Linked DNA regions of Cricetulus griseus. The protein of the gene in region 4 interacts with the protein of the main gene of each other region in a pairwise test. Links are inferred from orthologs where the notes say so. Each region holds a gene or a part of one and is shown on either strand. Other genes may lie near its edges.

What was found.
Region 1: the proteins of Zbtb9 (region 4) and Tsr2 interact in binary tests that used the Homo sapiens proteins (3 or more experiments, as listed by UniProt). The two-hybrid records come from large-scale screens. The link is inferred for Cricetulus griseus from reciprocal best matches to the Homo sapiens genes ZBTB9 and TSR2.
Region 2: the proteins of Zbtb9 (region 4) and Lasp1 interact in binary tests that used the Homo sapiens proteins (3 or more experiments, as listed by UniProt). The two-hybrid records come from large-scale screens. The link is inferred for Cricetulus griseus from reciprocal best matches to the Homo sapiens genes ZBTB9 and LASP1.
Region 3: the proteins of Zbtb9 (region 4) and Dtnb interact in binary tests that used the Homo sapiens proteins (3 or more experiments, as listed by UniProt). The two-hybrid records come from large-scale screens. The link is inferred for Cricetulus griseus from reciprocal best matches to the Homo sapiens genes ZBTB9 and DTNB.
Region 5: the proteins of Zbtb9 (region 4) and Eif4e2 interact in binary tests that used the Homo sapiens proteins (3 or more experiments, as listed by UniProt). The two-hybrid records come from large-scale screens. The link is inferred for Cricetulus griseus from reciprocal best matches to the Homo sapiens genes ZBTB9 and EIF4E2.
Region 6: the proteins of Zbtb9 (region 4) and Ehhadh interact in binary tests that used the Homo sapiens proteins (3 or more experiments, as listed by UniProt). The two-hybrid records come from large-scale screens. The link is inferred for Cricetulus griseus from reciprocal best matches to the Homo sapiens genes ZBTB9 and EHHADH.

The regions. Positions count from the first base shown.
Region 1 is NC_048604.1:108,371,190-108,375,310, forward strand, and holds the start of Tsr2 (pre-rRNA-processing protein TSR2 homolog), read left to right. Parts: upstream 1-1,321; 5' UTR 1,322-1,396; coding exon 1,397-1,480; intron 1,481-1,652; coding exon 1,653-1,743; intron 1,744-4,121. UniProt on the Homo sapiens protein: May be involved in 20S pre-rRNA processing.
Region 2 is NC_048600.1:110,966,742-110,970,241, forward strand, and holds part of Lasp1 (LIM and SH3 domain protein 1), read left to right. Parts: intron 1-1,515; coding exon 1,516-1,623; intron 1,624-3,500. UniProt on the Homo sapiens protein: Plays an important role in the regulation of dynamic actin-based, cytoskeletal activities.
Region 3 is NC_048600.1:14,491,897-14,495,396, reverse strand, and holds part of Dtnb (dystrobrevin beta), read right to left. Parts: intron 1,483-3,500; coding exon 1,269-1,482; intron 1-1,268.
Region 4 is NW_023276806.1:232,169,860-232,174,000, reverse strand, and holds the start of Zbtb9 (zinc finger and BTB domain-containing protein 9), read right to left. Parts: upstream 2,801-4,141; 5' UTR 2,525-2,800; coding exon 1,124-2,524; 3' UTR 1-1,123. UniProt on the Homo sapiens protein: May be involved in transcriptional regulation.
Region 5 is NC_048595.1:438,873,390-438,876,889, reverse strand, and holds the end of Eif4e2 (eukaryotic translation initiation factor 4E type 2), read right to left. Parts: intron 2,506-3,500; coding exon 2,353-2,505; intron 2,256-2,352; coding exon 2,119-2,255; intron 548-2,118; coding exon 475-547; 3' UTR 285-474; downstream 1-284. UniProt on the Homo sapiens protein: Recognizes and binds the 7-methylguanosine-containing mRNA cap during an early step in the initiation. Acts as a repressor of translation initiation.
Region 6 is NC_048597.1:67,170,130-67,173,629, reverse strand, and holds part of Ehhadh (peroxisomal bifunctional enzyme), read right to left. Parts: intron 1,739-3,500; coding exon 1,397-1,738; intron 1-1,396. UniProt on the Homo sapiens protein: Peroxisomal trifunctional enzyme possessing 2-enoyl-CoA hydratase, 3-hydroxyacyl-CoA dehydrogenase, and delta 3, delta 2-enoyl-CoA isomerase activities. Catalyzes two of the four reactions of the long chain fatty acids peroxisomal beta-oxidation pathway.

The DNA.
Region 1 (4,121 bases), on a different chromosome or scaffold from region 4:
GCCCTCTGATGCCCGTTCTCATTCTCTTTGCCTTGCAAAGCAAAAGTAGCCATATCCTCTTCTACTTCTAGTTCAACCTTGCATGTCTCCTCTGTCCTGTGTGTGCCTCAATCTTAGGCTTTTTTTTTTCTTTTGGCTTTTCGTGATAGGATCTCTCTGTATAGCTCTGGCTATCCTGGAACTTGCTCTATAGACTAGGCTGGCTTTAAACTCATGAAGATCCGTGCTTCTGCCTCCTGAGTGCTGAGATTAAAGGCGTGTGCCATCAACATCGGGCTCTATTTATGTTTAAAAGCCATCTAATAGTAAAGGCAACCTAGGCTCATTCCTGTTTATGATTAAATCTGTTTCTCAAAGATTGGGCTATGCCTCACCTGCAACCTTAACTACAAATGGCTCTGTACTGCCTGTTCCAGGAAGCGGCAACCATGCCTTTGTTTCAAAAAGTTGTTTATAACCATCTTGCAATCCTATCCTTGTTTCAAAGGTTGTTATGATTACCTGTTGCTATGACTACTTTATGACCACCCTGCAATCATGTATGTTTCAGGAGGTGGTTATGACTAGCTTCTTATGCTTATGTTCTGCTCCTGTAACCCCACCTATTTTCCCCCTTTTGGAAATCCCCTATCCCTAAACTATAAAAACTTTTGTCTTCCTCACATCTAATGCTGACCTCTTAAAGCTCACCTTAGGGGGAGGCAGCCTGTGTACACGAATAGAAAAGCTTGTTTTAATTAATTGCTCGCTTTAATTAATTTGGCCATGATGATTTGGGCCAGTGGTCTTTCTCCTTCCTCCTTTACCTGTACTTTCCAGGAAGTCTGGGGAACGTAATTGTTTCAGTGTTTGAGAACGAAGACAAAACTGTATAATAAGACAAACGTGTATTTTGCTGCAGTTGGCAGTACTGTTCTATACAGGTGTTATGATGCTGTTTGAAATCTTAAAAATTACATTTATTTATTGTGTGTGAGCACATGTGCCTGTTCGTGCCACCAAGGACATAGAGGGGAAAGGGGAAACTGCAGGAATTTGTGGGGCTTAGGGATCGAACTCAGGTCGTCAGGCAAAGGGGCAGCCTCTTAGGGGCCCTCAACTGTAGGTTCTTTCTCTCCTCCCCTCTCCTGTCCTCTCTCCTCTCTCTCCCCATTTCTCCCTCCCTCTTTCTTTCAGCTATGCTCCCTAAGTCCTCTTCTCCAGGTTCAACTTTAATTATTAGGATTTACTGTGGTAAGTGACATCATCTACCACTGACACAATTTTCGACTCTTCTGGTCTTGCCGCCAGGTCAGCAGAAAACGAATCTGCGTTTTGAGAATCGGCTTTTGGCTCGTTTTGCCTGAGGAAGTCGTCTGCGCGGTTGGGCTGCCTGGGAGCCACGTGATCTAAAGGGATGATGGCGGGCGCAGCAGAAGACGTGCGAACGCTCTTCGGAGCTGCTATCCGCGCGGCTCTGGAGGCTTGGCCTGCATTACAGGTGAGTGAGGCCACGGCGGGGGTCACAATTAGAGCTGGGGCAAAATAAGAGCTGGCAGGGCGAGGTGCCAGAGCCTCGGCTGGGCGGTGTAGGCGGCACACTCCCAGGCCATGGCAGGCCACGCCACTCTGATTTCCATGCTGTCATGGTTGGCTTGGGCCTGTGTTCACAGATCGCTGTGGAGAATGGCTTCGGGGGCGTACACACCCAGGAGAAGGCCGAATGGCTGGGGGGTGCAGTGGAGGATTACTTCATCGCCAATGGTGAGTGAGTGTGAGACATTGCTGTCTGTCTGTCTGGTTTTGGAGCGGCAGAGCCTCGTTCTGGGGAGCCCGCGCTTTCTCATGCCGAATGAATGGTGACGTTGGAATCAGACTCTTGCGTTTCGAGTGCGTTGCAAGCAATGACACTGCATAGTGCTATGATCCTGGACAACACATTTTTACCTTCCAGAGAGCCATTTTCTTAGTTCCTAAAATGGTTATGAAAAGATCTGGTTAATAGAACTCTTCGAGCCATATCATGTAGCTTGAAAAAAAAATGCTGTCTCGAAAAATACAAAAAAAACAAAAAAAATTGCTGGATCAGGGGAGGGAAAGATGGCGCCGTGGGCAAAGGCTGGCAAGCATAACAATTCGAATTTGATAGATGGGACCACGTGGAAGGAGATATGAGTCACTTAAGATGTCCTCTGACTACCCCTACACAAGTAAACGTAATTTAAAAATTGTTGTGTGGGAGTGTAGCCCAGTGGTAGAGCACTTTCCTAGCATGCTCATGTTTCTGGCTGCCATTCCTAGCACAACCAAAACCAACAGCAGTACCTCTAATAAAATAAAAGGCCAGACCCTGTGTTGCAGGCCTGTAAGTCTGAACAACTTCACCACGACCTTGTCTTACAATAAAAAATAGAGTTGGGGATATAAGCTTGTGGATGTGCTTACCAACTACTGTGAGACTCTAGGTTCAGTCCCCCCCTGCCACGAATGAATGAATAAGTAAATGAATGAAAGAAGCAAATATAATAGTATTAAATTCATAGCCAATCTAGCATATGGGCCATGTGATTCTAGCACTAGGGAGACTGAAGTAGGAGAACTGCTTTGAGTTTGAAGCCAGCCTTGGTTATATACCCAGAACTTGCCTTTAAAATAAAAAAGGGGCTAGAGAGATGCTTAGTTTCCTGTTTTTCCAGAGGACAGAAGTTAGGTTCCCAGCACACATGTCTGGCAGCTCACAAACTCCTGTAACTCCAGCTCCAGAGGATCCAAAGTCTTCTTCATCTGCACACATGTGCACCTATACATAATTAACAAATAAGTAAAATGCAGATGGAAAGATGGCTCAGCAGTTGTTCTTTCAAAGGACATGAGTTCAGTTCCCGGCATCCACATGTTGACTCATACCTGTCTATAACCCCAGTTCCAGGGGAATCTGACACTATCTTCTGTCCTCTGTGGGCACCAGGCATGCACATAGTGCACAGGCAAAATCCTCCTCCAAAATATTTCAATATGTCATAAGAATTAAGCATTTTACACATTTTTAGGATTAAATTTGACAGTCTGGAATTTTAAAGGTCTTAATGGGGGCACTTCTTAATTGAGACTAGCCACATTTCAAGTGCCTGTGCTCAGTGACCACACATGGCTACTTCTACAGCAAAGATCTACACCTTCCTTTTATCTTTGTGGGAAATTACAGAACAAAAGGACCTAGTGGGAATAGTACATGCTGTGGTTTTTATAAAATTCTCCATTGATATCCTAGTTTTACTGGATGATAAGTGTTATGATAAAGAGGTGCTCAGAATTCTTGAGTTATCTGAGCCTGAGGAGAAGCCTTTTGTTTTTTGTTGTATTTTGGTTTTTGAGACAGAGTTTCTCTGTGTGTCGCTGGCCTAGAACTCTGTAGACCAGGCTGGCAGCCTTTTTGGGGGAGGGGGGGCGGGGTCAGAGTAGTGATTGGGGTGGGTCTTAAGGAATGAAAAGGAGTAAACTAGCTAGAGACATAATGCACACTCAGAGGAGTTGAGGAGATAAGTGTTGTATTTTGAAAGGGCCAGCTGCATTGTAGTAAGGGAATGGAAGCGTGGTAGAGTATGAGTGTGTGTGTGCAAAGACACCCTAAAGTATAAGGGATGGGAGGCCTTGTGTGCCTTTGATTATATCCTTTAGGCCAGTGTTTATAAAATTCAAGCTATAGAAGACTTGTCCACTTAAGATATTCAATGCAGAAAAGGTTTCTCCAGTCAAATTACATAAGCTTTTTTCCCCAGCTGATATTTTAGTAGTAGTAGTAGTAATTGGAGACAGTATCTCCTTTTATAGTCCAGGCTGTTGTGGAATTTATGTTCCTCCTGCTTCATTTTCTTGAGTGCAGGGATTGCAGGTGTGTGCCAATGATCCTCGCTTTGTTTTCCATTAGCTTTCTATGAAAATCCTCATTAAAACTCAGCAAAATTGAGCTGGGGATGTAGCTCAGTTGGTAGACTACTTGCCTAACATGTAAGAAGCCCTGGTTTCAATCCCCAGAGCCACATTAACCAGGCATGGTGATTCATGCTTGTAATCTTAGCATCTAGAAGATGAAGGCAGGGGGATCACCAGTCACTAGGAGTTCTAGGCTACCCTTGAGCTAC
Region 2 (3,500 bases), on a different chromosome or scaffold from region 4:
GGCATGCCGGCTGCTGAATCCTCAGATTTGGCAAGGACTTTCTTATAGCTGTAGGCAAGGGGGGGGAGTGGTGGGAGTCTGTTATCCTGGAGCCTCAAGACATTTGCTGCTAAACCATGTAATCTCAGGCAGCAGTGATCTTTTTTATTTAAAAAAGAAAAAAAAGTATTGGTGGACGTTGGTGGGGTGCACCTTTAGTTCCAGCTCTCTGGAGGCAGAGGGAGGCAGATCTCTGAGTTTGAGGACTGCCAGGGCTACACAGAGAAACCCTGTTTCGAAAAAAACAAACAAAAGGGTATTATTTTATGTGTATGGGGTTTGGCCTGCATGTTTTATAGCATGTGTGTGCCCCATACTCTCAGAGAGTAGAAGAGAGCCTTGGACGCCCTGGAGCTGGAGTTACAGGTGGTTGTGAGTTGCCACCTGGGTGCTAGGAATTGGACCCGGGTTACATGTCACAGAGAGGCAATCTGCTGTTGCTTTTGAATGTATGGTTTATTGTCCACTTTAGGGAAAGTGAAAATAACTCACAGCAGATGAATCTGAATCTAACAATCTATCTCTAAATTGATGCCATGGATGTCTGGGTACCCACTCACAGTGGGTAGAGTTGGCATAAGCAGTTTGTAAGTACAGTGCACAGCAGGCTAGCCTGTCCACCACCAGGGAAAGGACAGTGGGTGAAAGCTAGCTGCTCATGTCCTCAGCTATGCTTAACCAGGTTAACCAGGATGCCTAACACTCAACGGTCACCAAGGTTATAGCTAGGCTAAGGCACAGGATCCTGGTGGGAAATCCATTCATTAGAAAGGGTCCCTTGTCACTAGAGTTCATGGCTCGTGTCCATTGAGGTACATTGGAGACCAGAGTGTGAGCTGCCTGAAGTTCATCTTTGTAGACTCTGGTCACTGCTTCTGGCTGCTGCAGGCCCCTGGTTCCAGGGCTTTACTGATTACACCCAGGCACTAGCTTCTGGGACTTTTTCTTTTCTTTCTTTCTTTTTTTTTTTGAGATAGGGTCTCCCTTTATGTAGCCCTGACTGTCCTGGAGCTCACTGTGTGGACCAAGCTGGCCTTGAACTCACAGAGATCTGCCTGCCTCTGCCTCCCAAGTGCTGGGATTAAAGGCTCGGACCACCATGCCCAGCTGATGCTATTTTCTGGTGTCAGCATGTTCTGATGTCAAGACTTTGAGCAGAAGTGCCTCCATCTTTATTTTTGGGGGGGGGGGCGTTTAAGTGTTCACTGCAGTTCTCTGGAAGAACAGCTAGTACTCATAATTACTGAGCCATCACTCTAGCCCCAAGGTGTTGCCCATCTCTTTATGGGCATTCAATGTGTGGTCTCCCCTCAGAACCTTCTGTGTGGTTATTAATGGGGTTATGATTGCTCTGACGCTTTCCGGCTCAGGCTTCGGCTTTGTGTTGGGGGTTTCTGGCCAGGGGCCTCGGGCTAGGCATGCCTGTCCTCACATTCCACCTGACCCCAGGCTCTCCTCTTCCCTCTTGGCCTCCAGGTGCGCTACAAGGAAGAGTTTGAGAAGAACAAGGGTAAAGGCTTCAGCGTGGTGGCAGACACACCCGAGCTGCAGAGAATCAAGAAGACCCAGGACCAGATCAGCAATGTGAGCTCCTGCCCGCTGTTACCCAAGCTACCCTCTGCCCTCCTCTCTTATCCGCTCCCTAGCATCCCTGCTTTGGTTCCTCAGGAGGGCCTGCTGTGTGGCAGTGGCTTGAATGGAGGGAAGGGAGAAGCTGAGGTTCCCAAGTGCCCTTTCTTTGTTCCCCTCTTTGCTAGGCATTCTGCCCAAGTGGTATTTCCTCCTTAAAGAGACTGCCCTTTTAGAGTGTGTGTGTGGAGGGAGGGAGGGAGGGAGGGAGGGAGAGAGAGAGAGAGAGAGAGAGAGAGAGAGAGAGAGAGAGAGAGAGAGAAGAACCTAGAGGTCCTGGACCACTCCTAAGGCTGGTCCAGAGTGTTATATGCATGGGGATGTTAAGTTACCTTCCACTCTCTAGAGTAGCCCCCTCTCCCCCCAGGCATGGTGGGGGGGGCAGGGTGCAGATTAGATGCTTGTTTTAGCACCAGGGTCAAAGCTGGGGCTGGGGTGGGGGGGTGGTTTGAGCCTCCTGTCTGCCTCTGGGTGCTAACACTGTAGTCATTTCCGCTCTCCCTCACCAACCTCCCACCTCAGCTTGCTCTTCCTTCCTGTGTGAAAACCCAGCTGGCGTTGCCCGCCGACCCTACCCTGCCTCCAGGCCTTCTCAGGCCGGAGCTGGGGCTGGCCATCGGTGTCTGTTGGGTGTTGGGTGTCTGGCTGTTAGATGGGTAGGCGTGAGGAGTGGGTGGTGAAGTGACAGTCTCTGTGTGGTCTTTCAGAGAAGCTGGGGCTAGAGGACAGGCCTCAGTTTCCTTCTTTGCACAGCCATAGCTTGTGTGTCTTTGGGCTTGCAGGGGCCTGATTTGGAATATGTGGGAGTAGACATCACAGAACATGGGTGCACACCTGAGCACAGAGCGTTAGAACATGCCCTATCAGCTGCAACAAGACTCCTGTAAATGAAGGGTGAGGCAGGCACTGTCCTCGTGTCTGTAACAGGAAAGGACCCACCAGTTGCCTATGTCACTCTGGGCTGAGGGACTAGGGATTGGGTGGATAGGATCCAGATTCAGATGGCCTACCTACGTCCCCACCCTCCAGGTTCCAGGTCCCTCAGTGTCCTGCCACTCTCATAAGCGAGTTGGGCTATGCCCCTGGTGAGTTATAGTGGAGGGTCAGGTAGATTCCATGAAAGGGGTCGGGGATAGAACCACCCCTGCCCAGGGGAATAGCTTTCAAATTCTGCCCTCTGTCTAGAAGAAACATTTTCTTTCTTCAGTGGTACATGCCTGCTCTTAGGAGTCTGAGGCAGGAGAGTCATGGATTCAGAGCCATTCTGGAGGTTGAGGCAAAGATCAAGAGGTTGAAGCCATTCTGGGCTCTATAATGAGCCCCTGTGTGAGACAAAGAAAATTTCTTGGAGGAGGACTAAGGATGTAGTTTCCCAGTGGAGCATTCACCCAGCATGCACCGGGCCCAGAGGAGGAAAGAAGGAAACCACTGTCGTGAATACGTGCTTTGGACTTGGAGAGCTCATTCAGATATTTTCTGTTCTTTCATAAAAAGAGCCAGGGATAGTCTGACCAAGTGGGTTTTGCAACACAGTCGTTGCACTGAAGTTTAAGATGAACGGCCTGAGGGAATGCACTGCTTCTCCTGGGCTGGAAGGTGATCCTCAGAAGCTTCAAACCCTGTCGGGCCCCCAGGAAACTTTCTTACAGTTGCCCTCTTCCAGCCTGGGCCTGACTCACACACCCTGGAGTTTCCTTTCTGGCTCAGACCACACAGAGGGTAAAAGGGTGTGTCAGAGAGCTCCCTAGATGGAGAGAAGGGAAGTGGTGTGACCTTGGGTGATTGGGAAACCATGGAATGGCTCACAGAGCTCCAATCATGTGACTTTGTGT
Region 3 (3,500 bases), on a different chromosome or scaffold from region 4:
GTAAGGTAATTTTTATTACTACATTTTTTGTTGTTTTTTGTTTGTTTGTTTGTTTTTCCAGACAGGGTTTCTCTGTGGCTTTGGAGGCTGTCCTGGAACTAGCTCTTGTAGACCAGGCTGGTCTCGAACTCACAGAGATCTTCCTGCCTCTGCCTACCAAGTGCTGGGACTAAAGGTGTGAGCCACCACTGCCTGGCCTATTACTACATTTTTAAAAATTGATTTTTGAACTGATTTATGTTGTGTAAGCCTGGAAGTGGCTATGCCCCTGGGATTAGGACCATGGTAAAATGCTACTTGGTCACAAAGAATAATAATTTCTGTCAAGGGTTTTGGATTGCAAGAGTTGATTCTTAAAGAGTACAAGATTAACTTAATCCATAACCCTATTTTTAAATGATTTTAAGATTTGGGAACTTTTTAAAATTCAAATTTCTTTAAATAATTTTTACCAAATGGGTAAAATATCTAACTTGGTAACATAAACACATTATGAATCTTGGGAAAGCCTAAAATGTGACCTGGCTTTGACACATCTATATTTCCTCACTAATACACAGAATTTTTGCTACCACAACTAATACCATTTTACAAATGTATAAACTCAGCATAAATCTATAGAGAAACAATGAAGCAAGAGAATTTATTCATCCAAATCCAATGATCAGAAGAACAGCAGTGGGAAGAAACAGGAACTCTTGGCTCTTGGAGCAGAACCAGTTCTCCACAGTCCATCCTTTAGGATTTGTTTGGTTTGCTTCTGTTTTGTTTTTTATAGAGCAAATCCTTTCCATTTTAATTGTGATACACTAAAGTGGTCTCTTGCTCCTTGTTGTAAAGTTTACCACACAGTGTATCAAAACTGAAAAAGTCTGAAATAGATTCTTAGTTGTTTAAGAGAAAACATGAGTCTAAAGCCGTTTGGTGTTACAGAGTAAAGAAATATTAGCCTTAAAGTCAACTAGAAAGCCATATCAGCAGGTTCAAAGCTTAAGCATTTCGTAATTGTGGGAGAGGGAACAAGTCTGCTAAAGTGCCTATCATTTTACCAGGCAATCTGACTCAAGTGGGTGATTCCCTACCTATTACACAGCTCCATCTGTGGCACACCAGAGGACAGCAGAGACTGTCCAGAAGGTAGGAAGGACTTACACTGAGTAACTCACCTCCACTGTGGCTCTAAGCTGGCAAAAGTTAGCAATGCAGTGGGGGGGGGGGTGTCGATGAAGAGATGGGCAGGATTTAAAAGTGAGCATATGAGTACTAGCCTGTCATACGCGGCAATCATAAAGTTGAGGAGGAGACTGATGGACTGTTCCACGCTGATTTGGTGAGTAGAAGGAAGGCGCTTGTTCAACTGATAGTAGATGGAGGAGATGACGGTCTCAAGGCGGGACACACTGATCTCAGTGGTATGGTCTAGTGTGTTAAGGCCATTGTCTCGGAAAGCTTCAATCATGTTCCAGATATCAACGAGATGAACTAAACCAAAGAAAATAAACTGTCAAAAATTTTAAAGGACAGTGTCACCTCACAACTGGATACTTAAACTTATCAACTAATTTTTTTAAGCTTAAAGAAGCTCAGCACTGGGTGTTGGTGGCGAACACCTTTAATCCCAGTACTCAGGAGACAGAGACAGGGGGATCTCTGTGAGTTCAAGGCCAGTCTGGTCTACAGAGAGAGTTCCAGGACAGCCTCCAAAGTAATACAGAGAAACCCTGTCTCAAAAACAAAAAAAAAGAAAAGAAAAAAGAAAGAAAGAAACTCAGCAGGGAGGGGTGGCCTACACCTTTAATCCCAGCACTTGGGAGGAAGAAGCAGGCATATCTCTCTGAGTTTGAGGCCAGCCTGGTCTACAGAGTGAGTTCCAGGACAGCCAGGGCTACACAGAGAAATGCTATAGCCCATCAAAGTGACTTCATGAAGTACTAATGGAGCATCGTGCATAAATTAAAAATTAATGCCTTGGAAAATGACAATGAAAGAAACATGGCTGCAATCCAAGTTGGTACAAGAATTTAAGATTTAATAAGTCTTTTTTAAATTGAAATACGGTCTCACTATGTAGCCCTGGCTAGCATGAAACTTGGTATGTAGACTAGGCTGGCCCTTGAATTCACAGAGATCTCCCCATCTCTTAGGTGTCTGCCACCACACCCACAACCTGGCAGGATATTTAATTATTTTTTAAAATTTATGTATTTATATATATACACGTGTTTTATCTGCATGTACATCTGCACACCAGAAGTTATCAGAACCTATGGGATTTGATGTTATAGATGGTTATGAGCCACCAGGTAGGTGTTAGAAATTGAACTCGGGACCTCTGGAAAAGCAGCCAGTGCTCTTAACCTCTGAGTCATCCCTCCACTCACCCATCCCCCTTTCAAAAGTTTTATTTATGTATAGGAGAAGGGTTTTTAAGAGTTTTTAAGTTATCAATGTAAAATGACTTGCTAGAGTCACTTGTTTATAATAAATAGTAAAACTCAGTCTTTTAAGACAGATTTTTCAGGCTGGAAAGATGGCTAAGTGGTTAAGAGCACTGGCTCCACTTTCAGAGGACCCAGGTTCAATTCCCAGAACCCACATGGCAGCTCACATAGGGTTTGCTTCAGACCTGAGACGACTCCTCCTCCTCTCACTCCTCCTCTGTAATTCTAGTTCCAAGAGATCTGACACCTAACACAGATATACATGCAGGCAAAACACCAATGAACATAAAATAAGTCATTTTTTAAAAAAACAGATTTTCCAATTTTTAGTCTAGTATTCTTTCCATTAAATAAACCAGCTTTTCATAAAAACAACAACAACAAAAAAAAAAAAAAACAAAACAGCTTTTCATTAACACGTGTACATACAAGAAAACTACAGCAATTCTGGAACAATTCATCTTTACGGACAGTAAAAGAATACTTATGTATGCATATATCTGGACATATTTTAAAATTCACATGATGGCCATTACTTATTAAAAGAAGCTGATTTGTGTTATACTAAATTCAATCAAGAAAATCAATTTTTACTGTATCTGTATCAAAACACCAAGGTCTTTCTTTCAGAAGCTAGTAACTACATTAATTTTGCACAAAATATTTTCTCTCCCTGAAATAGGATTACTATTCTGCCTCTCAGAACCTGTAACTAATTCCAAGTTCTAAGAACTGGAGCAGGGTCCACAGCTCAGGGAGTCAAGGCCAGGGCATCCTCCACAGCTCAGGGAGTCAAGGCCAGGCCATCCTCCACAGCTCAGGGAGTCAAGGCTGAGGTAGACTCCATGGCTCATCGAGTAAAGACAATTGTGCAAACCTTGAGGACCTGAGCTTCCGTATCTGGAACTCACACGGCAGAAAGAAAGAACAGACTCTTAAAAGTTACCCTGTGACCTCCATGAACTATAGTGTGAACATACACACACACACACACACACACACACACACACACACACACACACAAAATTAAAAAAAAATAACACATTCTAGCAACATTAC
Region 4 (4,141 bases):
GTCCTTCAGATCAGGGCAATTTGTTCAGAGAGCAACAGCGCTACCCTGAGAGCGTTTTAGGTCAGTTGCCATCTCCTGAGTTCACTGGTCACATCTGTCATTGTGATCATAAGCAAGTTGTCAGTGGTAGTCTAGACAAGAAAGAGCAAAGGCTGTTGCGGGAATATCCTCTTAGGGTTCTGCAATTACATATGAAATGCTTGATATGTTAAAGTGCTCAAGTACTTTTTTCTTTAAAAAGACCAGGTCTCACTGTGTAGCCCTGACTGGCCTGAAACTTGTTATGCTGAAACTATGCTACCCAGGTTGGTCTGGAGCTCACAGAGATCCGCCTAACTCTGCTCCCCAGTGTTGGGATTAAATGTGTGAGTAACCACACTTGTTGCAGGCTCAAGTACATTTTTTTTTTCCCCCCAAGACAGGGTTTCTCTGTGGCTTTGGAGACTGTCCTGGAATTTGCTCTTGTAGACCAGGCTGGTCTTGAACTCACAGAGATCTGCCTGCCTCTGCCTCCCAAGTGCTGGGATTAAAGGCGTGCGCCACCACCGTCACCTGGCTTAAGTACATTTTTAAAAGAATATTTTGGAAGGTGTCTACTGGTAAGAAGGCAAAGTACAATCTAAAAGCTTCTAGAAAGAAACAGCGCACTGCCGAGTGTGTGTGTGTGTGTGTGGGTGGGTGGGTGGGTGGGGGCACTCATGGAGTTCAGTCTGGCAATTGGTTGAGCTCTGAATCAAACACGTTTCTAGTTGGAGACCAGCTCCCTTACCTCCTGGTGAAGGTGAAGTAAAAGTTACTAGGTCATTTTGTTCCAACTCTTCTCTCACTAACTTCATCTGAAGTCAATGGTTTCCTCACTGGCTATCAAAACAAAGAGGGCCACATAGCTTAAGTGATCAAAAGTATGACTTTCCTAGAGTCTGCTTAACAAACAGCTGAACTGAGAACCCTGAACTTCCGAGCACACGAGGGTGAGGCCCATAGCCAACAGTAAGGGGCTCATAACGTATCTCATCTCTTGGGATGGCTACACGATCCAGGACTGAGGTGGTGAAGGGTAAGAATCCAGCAGCAGCAGCAGCGGCTATGTCTTATCCTAGAAGTCAGTATACAGCATTAGCAGTCATTTGTAAGTCCAGTGGGCAGTGGCCCAGCCCTGGCCCTTGCACAGGTCGCGGTGGCGCAGGTAAAAGGCATGGACGCGAAACCGACGGCCACAGTTGGGACAGGCATGCAGAGCTCTAGCGTGGGTCTTCATGTGCTCTGTCAGATGGTGCTTCAACTTGAAGCGTTTATTACAGACGCCACATCCAAAAGGGCGAAGGCTGAAGGTCAACATGATGTGGCGGTCCCGCTTCGGCTTTACTGCAAACCGTTTTCCACACAAGCACCCAAAGCATTTCCCATCTGCGGGGGGCGTCCCTCCCAGCTTCACAGGCCCATGCACAGCTTGCCCCGAGCCTCCAGGCCCCCCGCCCCCTGACAGGATTTCGTTCCCGTGAAGATCCACTGGCTTCCAGGGTGGATCCCCTGCTCCAGAGGTTTCCCCTCCTCCTGAGGACAGCAAGTATCTTAGTTCCCCATTTCCCTCAGAGTCCCCTTCAGAAACGGCTTTGGTCTTCTCCTTTGTTCCTCCAGACCGAGTCCTACTTCCTGATGTCTCCTCCTTAGACTCAAGGGCTTCCTGATTGACATACAAGACCTGGGAAGCTCGGCCAGGAGGGGCAGGAGGCTCAAGGGCTGAATTCTCCTCCTCCGGAGGCTTGCTGGGAAGAGCAGATGTGGGCAGTGGGTGGGGTGCACAGGCGTGGGGAAACCCTCCGGATACTCTCTGAGGCTGAGGAGTCTGGAAGAGCGGGGCTGCTGACCCCTGCTCGTCCTCCTCCTCCTTCACCTGAATCTCTAACACTCCTTCTTCCACTTTGCTCCCCTCCCCTCCCACGGGGCTCTCAGTAGAAGCCGAGCTCTCTGTGGGAGCAGAGGACCGCGCTGTGCTCTGGAAAGGGGAGGACCGGATGCACCAGCCTCCCGGAGAGGTTGTGGAAAGAACTGTGTGGTAGGAGGCTCCTCCGCCAGCCGAGACTCCACCACCACCCGATGTCTCTAGTTCTCGAAGAATCTCCGAGCACTGGTCCACCACCTGCCACATCTGCAGGCCACTGGCGACAAGGAGATGGGCAGGGAGAGCATCGAGCGGCAGGCGGAGGCGCCCCGAGTAAATGAGCTGAAGGAGTCCCTCGAAGGCGTCTGCCTCGATGACACTCGGCAAAGTGAGTCGGGGCGCATCCCCCAAAAGCAGCTTGTCGTGGAAGTAAGGCGAGGCAGCGGCCAACACCGCCTTGTGAGCCCTGAGCTCCCTGCCCTGAACCAGGAGGGACACATCACAGAACTTGCCCTCCAGCCTGTGGCGGTTCAGGGACTCCAGCAGCGAGGAGCTGTGATGAGGGAACTCGATGTGGATGGTCCGAGAGGCTGGGTTGCCCCGGGGAGAGGGCGGCGTGGGAGGCAGCGTCGCCGCATCCATGGCCACCTCGGGGAGAGAAGGCGCAGGGCGTCGGGGGCCTGCGGGGCTCCGCGGACCCAAGGCTGGGAGGAGGAGGAGAGAGCGGGTCACCCAGGTTCGGGCCAGGCGCCCGTGTCCAGCGGCCGCCGCGCCTCCGTCCCGCGCCCCAGCGAGAGAAGCGGCGCCGGGTGTTCACCTCCAGGCCCCGCGGCAGCCGGGCGCGACTGCGGGCCGGCCGGTCGCCGCCCGCCTCGCCGCGCTCACACAGGCCGTCCGCCGCGCCCTCCCGCCGGCACGCCCCCACCGCACGCCCGCCTCACCTCGCCGCTCGCCGCTCGCCCGGCCTCCGCTGCGTCTGCTCGGCCGGAAGCCGCCGCCGCTCCGCCGGACCGCTGCAGCCAGGCGCGCGGGCGGGGGGGGGCGGGGCGGAGCCGGGCTGCAGCCAATGGAAGGACGGCAGCCTACAAGCCCCCTTCTTATTGGCTGTGCCGCCGGGGGCAGGGCTGGGACCGTCGGGGAGCGGCGGCGGCGGCGGCGGGAAGGGCGAGGTGGGTGCGCCGTCCGCGGTGTGCACGCGGGGCGGCCGGACCGGAAGTCTGCGGCGCGCGCTCGCCCAGGACCGCGGGTCTCGGCCGCGTCCCGCAGAGGCGTCCCCTCCGGAGAGCTTCGCGCAGACGGCGGCTTGGGCGAGAGCCGAGTGGGCGCTCGGCCGCTGTGCGCTGTCCGCACTCACGCCTGGGTGAGCCCGCCCGCCGCGGGCTGACAGCCTTCTCCCGAGCAGCGCCGGCCACTCCCTCAGCGCTTCCAGGACTCCGGTGCCGGGCGAGGAGGCGCCCACTTTAGTCCCAGCACTCGGGAGGCAGAGGCAGGCGGGTCTCTGTGAGTTCCAGGCCAGCCTGGTCTACAGAGCGAGTGCCAGGAGAGGCTCCAAAGCTACACAGAGAATCCCTGTCTCGACAACTAAATAAATGAAAGTCAGTCCCCGGCTGGAGAGATGGCTCAGAGGTTGAGCACTGACTGCTCTTCCAGAGGACCTGAGTTCAATTCCCAGCAACCACATGGTGGCTCACACCATCCGTTATGAGATCTGCTGCCCTCTTCTGGTGTGCAGTGAGACATACATGGAAGCAGAATGTTGTCTACATAATAAATCTTTAAAAAAAAAGTCAGTCCAGCGATAAAAGAACAATCTCCGTTTATTAAACATGAGTTTTGTTTCACCACACACTCCAGAAAAAAAGGAAAGGGGCCGGGAGTGGGCGAGGGGCGACGGGGCTGGGAGGAGGGCGGTGAGAACGAGTAAACAAAGGAAACAAAACGAGTAAGAAGAGCGGCTCCCTACTCTTAAGGTGGCTGGAGGCGGGAGAGAGGGGCGGGCCGGGAGCCGGGAAGCTCTGTACAGAGGGGTCGCCTCCCAGCCCCCACCCCGGTTATGTACAGTACAAACCCCAGATAATTACAACAGCCAAAGAGGAGGGCGGAGGGACCGGGTAGGGCCTCAAGTGGGGTAAGCAGAGGGGAGGGAGGGCACGGGATAAAATTTCACATATTTACAACATTTATAGAAGTATAAATTTGGCCCCGGCTGGGTGGGTGTAGAGGGTTAGGCTGAAGGAGAGCTGTCCATACAAAAGGTCG
Region 5 (3,500 bases), on a different chromosome or scaffold from region 4:
CACCACTCTGGGCCAGCCATCAGTCTAACTGGATGGGAACTAGTACACTTGAGCACCAGGCAGTAGGGGCTTACTTTGAGAGCTAGATGTCACCTCATTATGTCAGACCGCAAGAGTCCAGGAATAAAGTACCATATAACTACACAATAGGCTTGTGGATATGAAGCTGCATTCCCTGAATGGCCCTGCATGGAGAAGTCTGTGTGCCATCCCTCGATAATGGTGACAGTCAATCCAAAGGCCACATCTTGATGCACCATAAAGAGCAAGAGCATGAGACAAGCTGGTTTAGCACCATTTATTTGTGATCTCAGCTGTTGTTGTAGCTGCTGCTGTCAGCCTGTTCTCAAAGCATAACATGCTCTTCCGTTCCTCTTGTCCAGGACAGAAGGGTCTTCCAGGTGGCACGCCAACAGAACAAGAGACTCCGATGACGCCAGCTTCAATGATGGTGCCATCCAGAGAGGGAGAGGGTCATGGCACATTCAATCGCGGCTTCCAGAGGTTTTGAAAAAGGAGCCTTTGGGGGCCCAGCCTGCCTGGCATTCTAGTGGAAGTGCAAAAGGTAGCTCATTGGGAGAGGAAAGAGAGTGGGGAGCAAGGGAAAGTGGCATCTGGGTCTTGAGGAGGGCGTTACAGCTGCAGGGCAGGAGTCCCGAGGCTCCTAGGTCCTGGAAGGACTTGCTCATGGGACTTTACAAGTCAAGATGAACTGCCTCCAGGTATCAGAGAGGGAGAACACTGGGGAGTGAATGAAAACTACCCCTTTCCTTTCCTAACCAGGGTAAACGGGAACCTAGCTAACAAGAATCCTAGGGAAAGATGTAGACCTTTAGAGCTTGGACTAAACCTAGCAGGAGGGCAGACACTACCTCTATCCTGAAGCAGAGAGTAAGACCGATCTACTCTAAGAAAAATAATGTTGATACAGGATTGCTGAGACAAGCAACCAGGGTCATAGATGGCAAATGAGTGCTGGTGGCTCCAGTGAGTCAGAGGCAGCCACCAATTCCCATGGCAGTACTCCCAGTTATTAACTGGCACCTAGCTGGTATAAGCAAACTCCACCTACAACATTATATGTGAATGCATGGGAAAGAGAGTCTCATATAGTCTGCCTGCTGATGAACACAACTACTGGCTCACTGTTAGTCTTGAATAGGAATGCCATGATGATGACATTGTACTAATGATGACAGCAATAATATTTGGTCCTGTAAGAGCTTTCTTGCTCTGAGGACCCTCAGTTACAAAGATTAAACCAGCTTTACCACAACCTTACTATTTATTCCTGTACTCCTGTCTTATAGCTGGAGAAACTGAAGCACAGCTGCAGAGACTTGCCAAAGGCACATACTGACTCAGGGCCACAGGAGACAATACACATAGAGAAACCTGACTCCTGGCTGGCTGGCTCTCCATCCACCTTTGAGACAATCTGGCAGCCACTCCCATAACCTATTCATAATGACCTGAGCTCATCTCTGTCACTGAAGGAGCAAGCCCTCACCAGGGATTCTCAACGTGGAAAGCACTCATTGTTTCTTTGTACTGTGACTCTACCTTCCCTCTGTTCTCCTCTCTCACAATCTACCCTGCTTCCTCTAGATTTCAACTCTATATATAGAAAGTGGAGTCACCATCTCTGATAAAAAGTCAATCTCCGAAGACAAAGAAGACAGACTAAAGCTAACAGGTTAAACAGACATGCAAAGGTGGGGTCAGGGTGGGCAGGGAAGAGGATTTTATTATTTAATGAAATTGTCTTTAAAAACAGCCATAAAAAAAAAAAAAAAAAAAAAAAAAAAAAACCACTGAAAGAGTTCTGTCTTTCATTTTAAAGCAGTGGTTAGCATAGGAAAGACAAGACAGCCTGTAAAAATGAAGCCAGCATAGGCAGGAAAACTGGGATCCTGCAGAAGGGCTCTCTGCTCCACAACACCTCACAGTAGGTCCTCACTAACAAGAACTTCAGCAAGTGGCCAAAGCCCTGGAGGGGCTGGTGTGTTCCTACTCCACAAGTCAGGGTCATGTATGCCCACATGCGTCTGGGCCCAACTATGGAGCTATTTCTGCTAAGCTCAGGGACCTGTCCCCCCCAACCCCCCCAACACGTACTTGATGCTGTCGGTGTGAGTTTTGTATTCCATAATGGTGTTGGGAGGTAGGTTAAGCACGCGCCGAAGAGTATCCCGGATTCGGGCTGTGGTTGCTTGGTCACTGGCGGTCTTATTCCATATAGAAATAATGTCCTCCTAAGGGAGGAACAGAATGAATTATCAAACCAACCAGAAGCATCAATGAGAGTAGCAGCGGCAACACAAGAAAGAACACTGGGCCGGGTAGACTTACCTGAAAGCGGACAGAGACCACAGCCCCGCAGATTTCCTCCCCAACCATGAATTGCTCCCCCAACATGGCCAGGATGAGATTCTCCCAACAGCGGGATGCTAAGCCTTTCCGAAGTCGAATGATCCACTTGCCACCATTTTTATTTGCATCATCCTATAGAAAGATAGAAAGTGAAATACTAGTCCACAGCGTCATCTTTGAATACCAAAGGAACACTTCTGAAGATCAGGGACTTCTGGTTACTTTCTAATTCAATGGTTATTTCAATGTTATTGAGAGGAGAAATAGAAGGAAAAAAAAAAAAGCAAAGACAAAAAGGCAGCATTCTTGATCTAAATCATTTTCATAAAAACACTAAATAGATTTTTCAAAAAATAATCTACTTTTATAAGAACTATTTTAGGAATCAAAATTATTTTAGGAAATAAAGTCACATTTCAAACACAGACATAATAAGCTGTCTCTAAGTAGCAAGTACATAGACAGAAGCTCAGATCTTTTCTTTATATTGCTTTGGAACCTGCTCTGGAACTCACTCTGGAGACCAGGTTGGCCTTGAACTCACAGAGATCCGCCTGCCTCTGCCTTTCAAGTGCTGGGATTAAAGGTGTGAGCCACTAACGCCCATCTTGAAGTTCAGATCTTAACTCAGACAACAAATTAATAACAGCCAGTCTAATGAGTACTACTGTAACAGTGCACACTCAATGGTGAGAGCATATGGCTAGAAACCTTAAGAGGAAATTCGTATGCTGGTCTTGACATGTAAAGCAGGTAAAGGATGCTGAGGACAACGGGAGGAACATGTCTACACAGAGTCAGGGATATGTGACCTAGGGAAGACAAGATTTTGATGTCTTTTAGGACATTTTTCCTCAGAAAAATGTTCTGGCACTGGAGTATGTGTTGCACAAAAGTGCATTTAAGTAACAGCTCTGCAAAGAGATCACAGAGCTTACCTCTGAGTCTCCTGTTATTCTTAAGTTTTTTTCTTACCTCTTTATTCTCTATCTACTAAGCAAATGCATTACATATACATGTACACACAGACATGAGTTCTATGGGAACAAGGACATCTAAAGGTTTTTACTCCTATAATAACACCATTTTAAGTGACAGCACCTATGATGGTTTGAGTAAGAATGGCC
Region 6 (3,500 bases), on a different chromosome or scaffold from region 4:
AACAGGGTCCTCTTTCTTAAGAGGGTGGGTACTTGTGTATTTTAACCTAGTCTGGAAGCCAGCAAGCCCCAGTGACCCTCCTGCCTTTGTCCCCCTTGGAGCTGGGGTTACATGGGTGCTGGGGTCTAAATCCTGATGTTTCAAACAGGTATCTTAACTGATGAGCTATTTCTCCAGCCCCAAATACATCCCCGCAGATTAGCAATGAACAATCTGTATGAAAATAAGAAAATAATTCTACCTACAATAACACCAAAAAGAATAATACACTGAAAGGGATACACTTAACAAAGAGGACTTCTGGACTAGAACTAATGAAACACTATTGAAAAAAATTAAAGAATGGCCAGGGTATTTAGTTCTCGGTGTTAAAGTGCTTGCCTAGCATGCACAAGGCCCTGAGTTTGACACCTAACATTGATAACAAGAAAAAAATAAAGAAAGAAGGAAGGAAGGAAAGGGGGAGAGGGAGGGAAAGAAAGAAAAGGAATCAAAGAAGACCTAAGTAAGTCAAAAGACATCCACTGTTCACAAACAAGGAAAAATTTAATATTGGTAAGATGAAATATCAAACTGATCTGTAAAACCAATGCAAACTCTGTGCCATCATGTTTTTTTGCATAAATTAACAGTGGATTCTACAATTCATACAGAAATGCAAGAAGCCTAGGAGAGTCAAAACACTGTTTTAAAAAATGATTTCAATGGTTCTGACAGAACTGAAGTATTCAAGGCAGATGGAGTCGACTGAGAGTCTAAAATTAACTCTGGGCTTACGGCCCATGTGGGCACAGGACTGCTACTGTTGAAAGATCCCTAGGGCTGACCCTCAGGATGGAGAGAGTTCATGTATTCTGGCAAGTACATGAATTAACAAGAGCTAACATGAGCACTAAGTTCAACAAAGAACTTAATAGCCCCAAGCGAGTGACATTTGAAGTGTGCTGTGGTTTTTGTACACAACAGTGCAGTTGTGCATATGAACTGACAACCTGTCTGACAGTGCACACAAGTCCTGCACAAGATCAAGCAGACAAAAATCCCAACATAAAGGGGGAGGGGCAGGAAGTGCGACCCCCAGATGAGGGGCTATTGGCCATTGATGGCTGTTGGCAGAGGGAGAGTCGGCTTTCTTTAAGGATGAGCCCACCCTCCCAAGAGGCTACCCGTGTCACAGTACATGGCCTCACACCCATGCACATACTAGCAGCACTAAGAAACCTCTGTGATTTAAAAAAAGAGTGAGAACACATGGAATTGGGGAAAACAGTGGTGGGAGGAGGCTATGGGGGAAATTGAAGGAAAAGGAACAAGGGAGGGGACTTGATCCAAATTTCACATGTATGAAATTCTCAATTGATGAAAAGAAATACACAGGTGTGAAGAATGTACTTACCAAGAACTCCAACTGAGGAGACTGGCTGAGCAGACGCTGTTTTCCAAGATGCTCCAGAGGGAGTGGACCACTTATTTGCAGACTTTTCAGCAAAAAAGGCATACTGCAGGGCTCTAGCCTGTCCCGATGCCCGAAGGTACATAAACAGCTTTTCTTCTTCCTTAATGCCCACTTCATAGGGGTGCTTCACAGAGGCCTGGACTGAACGGACACAAGTCTCTGGAGCCAACCGGCCAGGGAACTGCTTTCGTACTTTGGTGATGGCTTCTGCGAAAATTCTGTCCATGTTGGGCAAGCTTGGAACTGGCTTATTTAAGATTCTGCGGGGTTCTATGGGTTTATCTAAAAGGAATTGCAAAAGATCAGAGCACTGCAAGTATAATACAAAGGCAACAGGACCCCACCACAGCTGAACAATAGTGCATGGTTCCAATGACCCAACTAGACACTCTGTGTTATTATTTAAGGAAACACTAATTCCCATATCTGCTATCTTAGTAATTTCAGACCATAAGTAAAATTTAGAAGATCTAAAGTATTAAGCTACTAATCCAGGCATGAAATGTACATTCTCTTTTTATTCTGCGGTCAAGACAACTTTATAGTAGATTAAATATTAATCTGTTGGTCCAAATATGCCAGTTCTTAGTTAATATCATATATTCAAAAATATTCACTTTCTTTTCTTAACAATGACAAAACCATTTTTGAGGGGGGGATTCCAGACAGGATTTCTCTGTGTAACCGTCCTGACTAGGCTGATCTCAAACTCATTGAGATCTGTCTGCCTCTGCCTCCCAAGTGCTGGGATGAAAGGTGTGTGTCACCACCACGGGGCTACAAAATCTTTAAAATACATAGCAGGTGGGAAGCAATATGATGCAATGATTGGTGACAGAAGATAATTGAAAGTTCATTGGTAAATTCTTTCAATAGAGTGAACTGATTTTCAGGACAGGAGGGAAGACAGTCAACCGGGGGAGGTGGGGGGGAGGAAGTCTTTTTCCCCAAAAGGACATGGAATAACTGTATACACAGGTACTAAGTAAATGAACTGTCCCTTGTGAAGCACGCACCTCCAAATGAATCATCATTCTACTGAACTCCTAACATATAAAATTTTCTAGGAAAATAAAACAAAACAAAGGAACAATCTCTGTGACCTTGAGTTAGTTACTAGAACCTTATGGTTCTGTAATTTTATCAAATGATCCAATAAAATGGTTTAAAAAATCAGGCAAAAATACAACAAATTAGTTACCAAAACTCACTACCACAAAATGTGGTCTAAAAAGGGTTGCCATCTCAAGAATGAACCGTTATGGCAAAAATGTACACCTAAGAGAGTTAGATGGAGAACCTGCCGGAGCTTATAACATATGACCATTACAGAAGAACACAGAGCATGACAGTCGTGTGCTGAGCATCCTCCAAGGCAGCCAGTGAACGGCCTGGGTAGCACCATGGGCTTCTGCAGGCTCATCCCGTTTTTCTCAGCCAAATGCCAAGACCATGACTCGAATACACAAATATTAAGTACTTGTAGCTGTGAGAAGGGCTTTAAGAGAACACCATCTTGTAGGACGTAAAGAGCACTTTCCAGCACAGCATGCAGACAGGGGTTAGCAGTGTGTGGCTCCTCCTCACCCTGCTCCTTTGGAGAACCAGGAGCTACAGCCATCACTTAGTTATTCAATACATTAGCCCAGTCCTCAGGGCAGGGGAGGCCGAGGAAGATGAGGAGACCTGTGCAGTCTACAGTTGGTGTTATTCATGGATGACGAAAGAAGACAGTGTGGATAGAAGAGAGGACAGGAAGAGAACATGTTGGGGGGAGGGGGGCAAGTGGAAGAGAAAGGAGGATGGATGTCAGGGCTGTGGCCTCACCCATGCAGGACACTGCAGCCCGGGAGTGCTATCCTTGAAGCTGCTATTGCCCCCCCCTCCAAGACTAGAACTGCCTCCTAAAGCCACTGCACACTTGATTTCTTTCAAAAGTTTAAGGTCAGATGGCTATTTCCCCATCACAGATGCAGTTTAACTGTTTTAAGGACATAGACAGGATGTGACAATCTGAAAGACGTTAGCATTTGACTTTGATGCA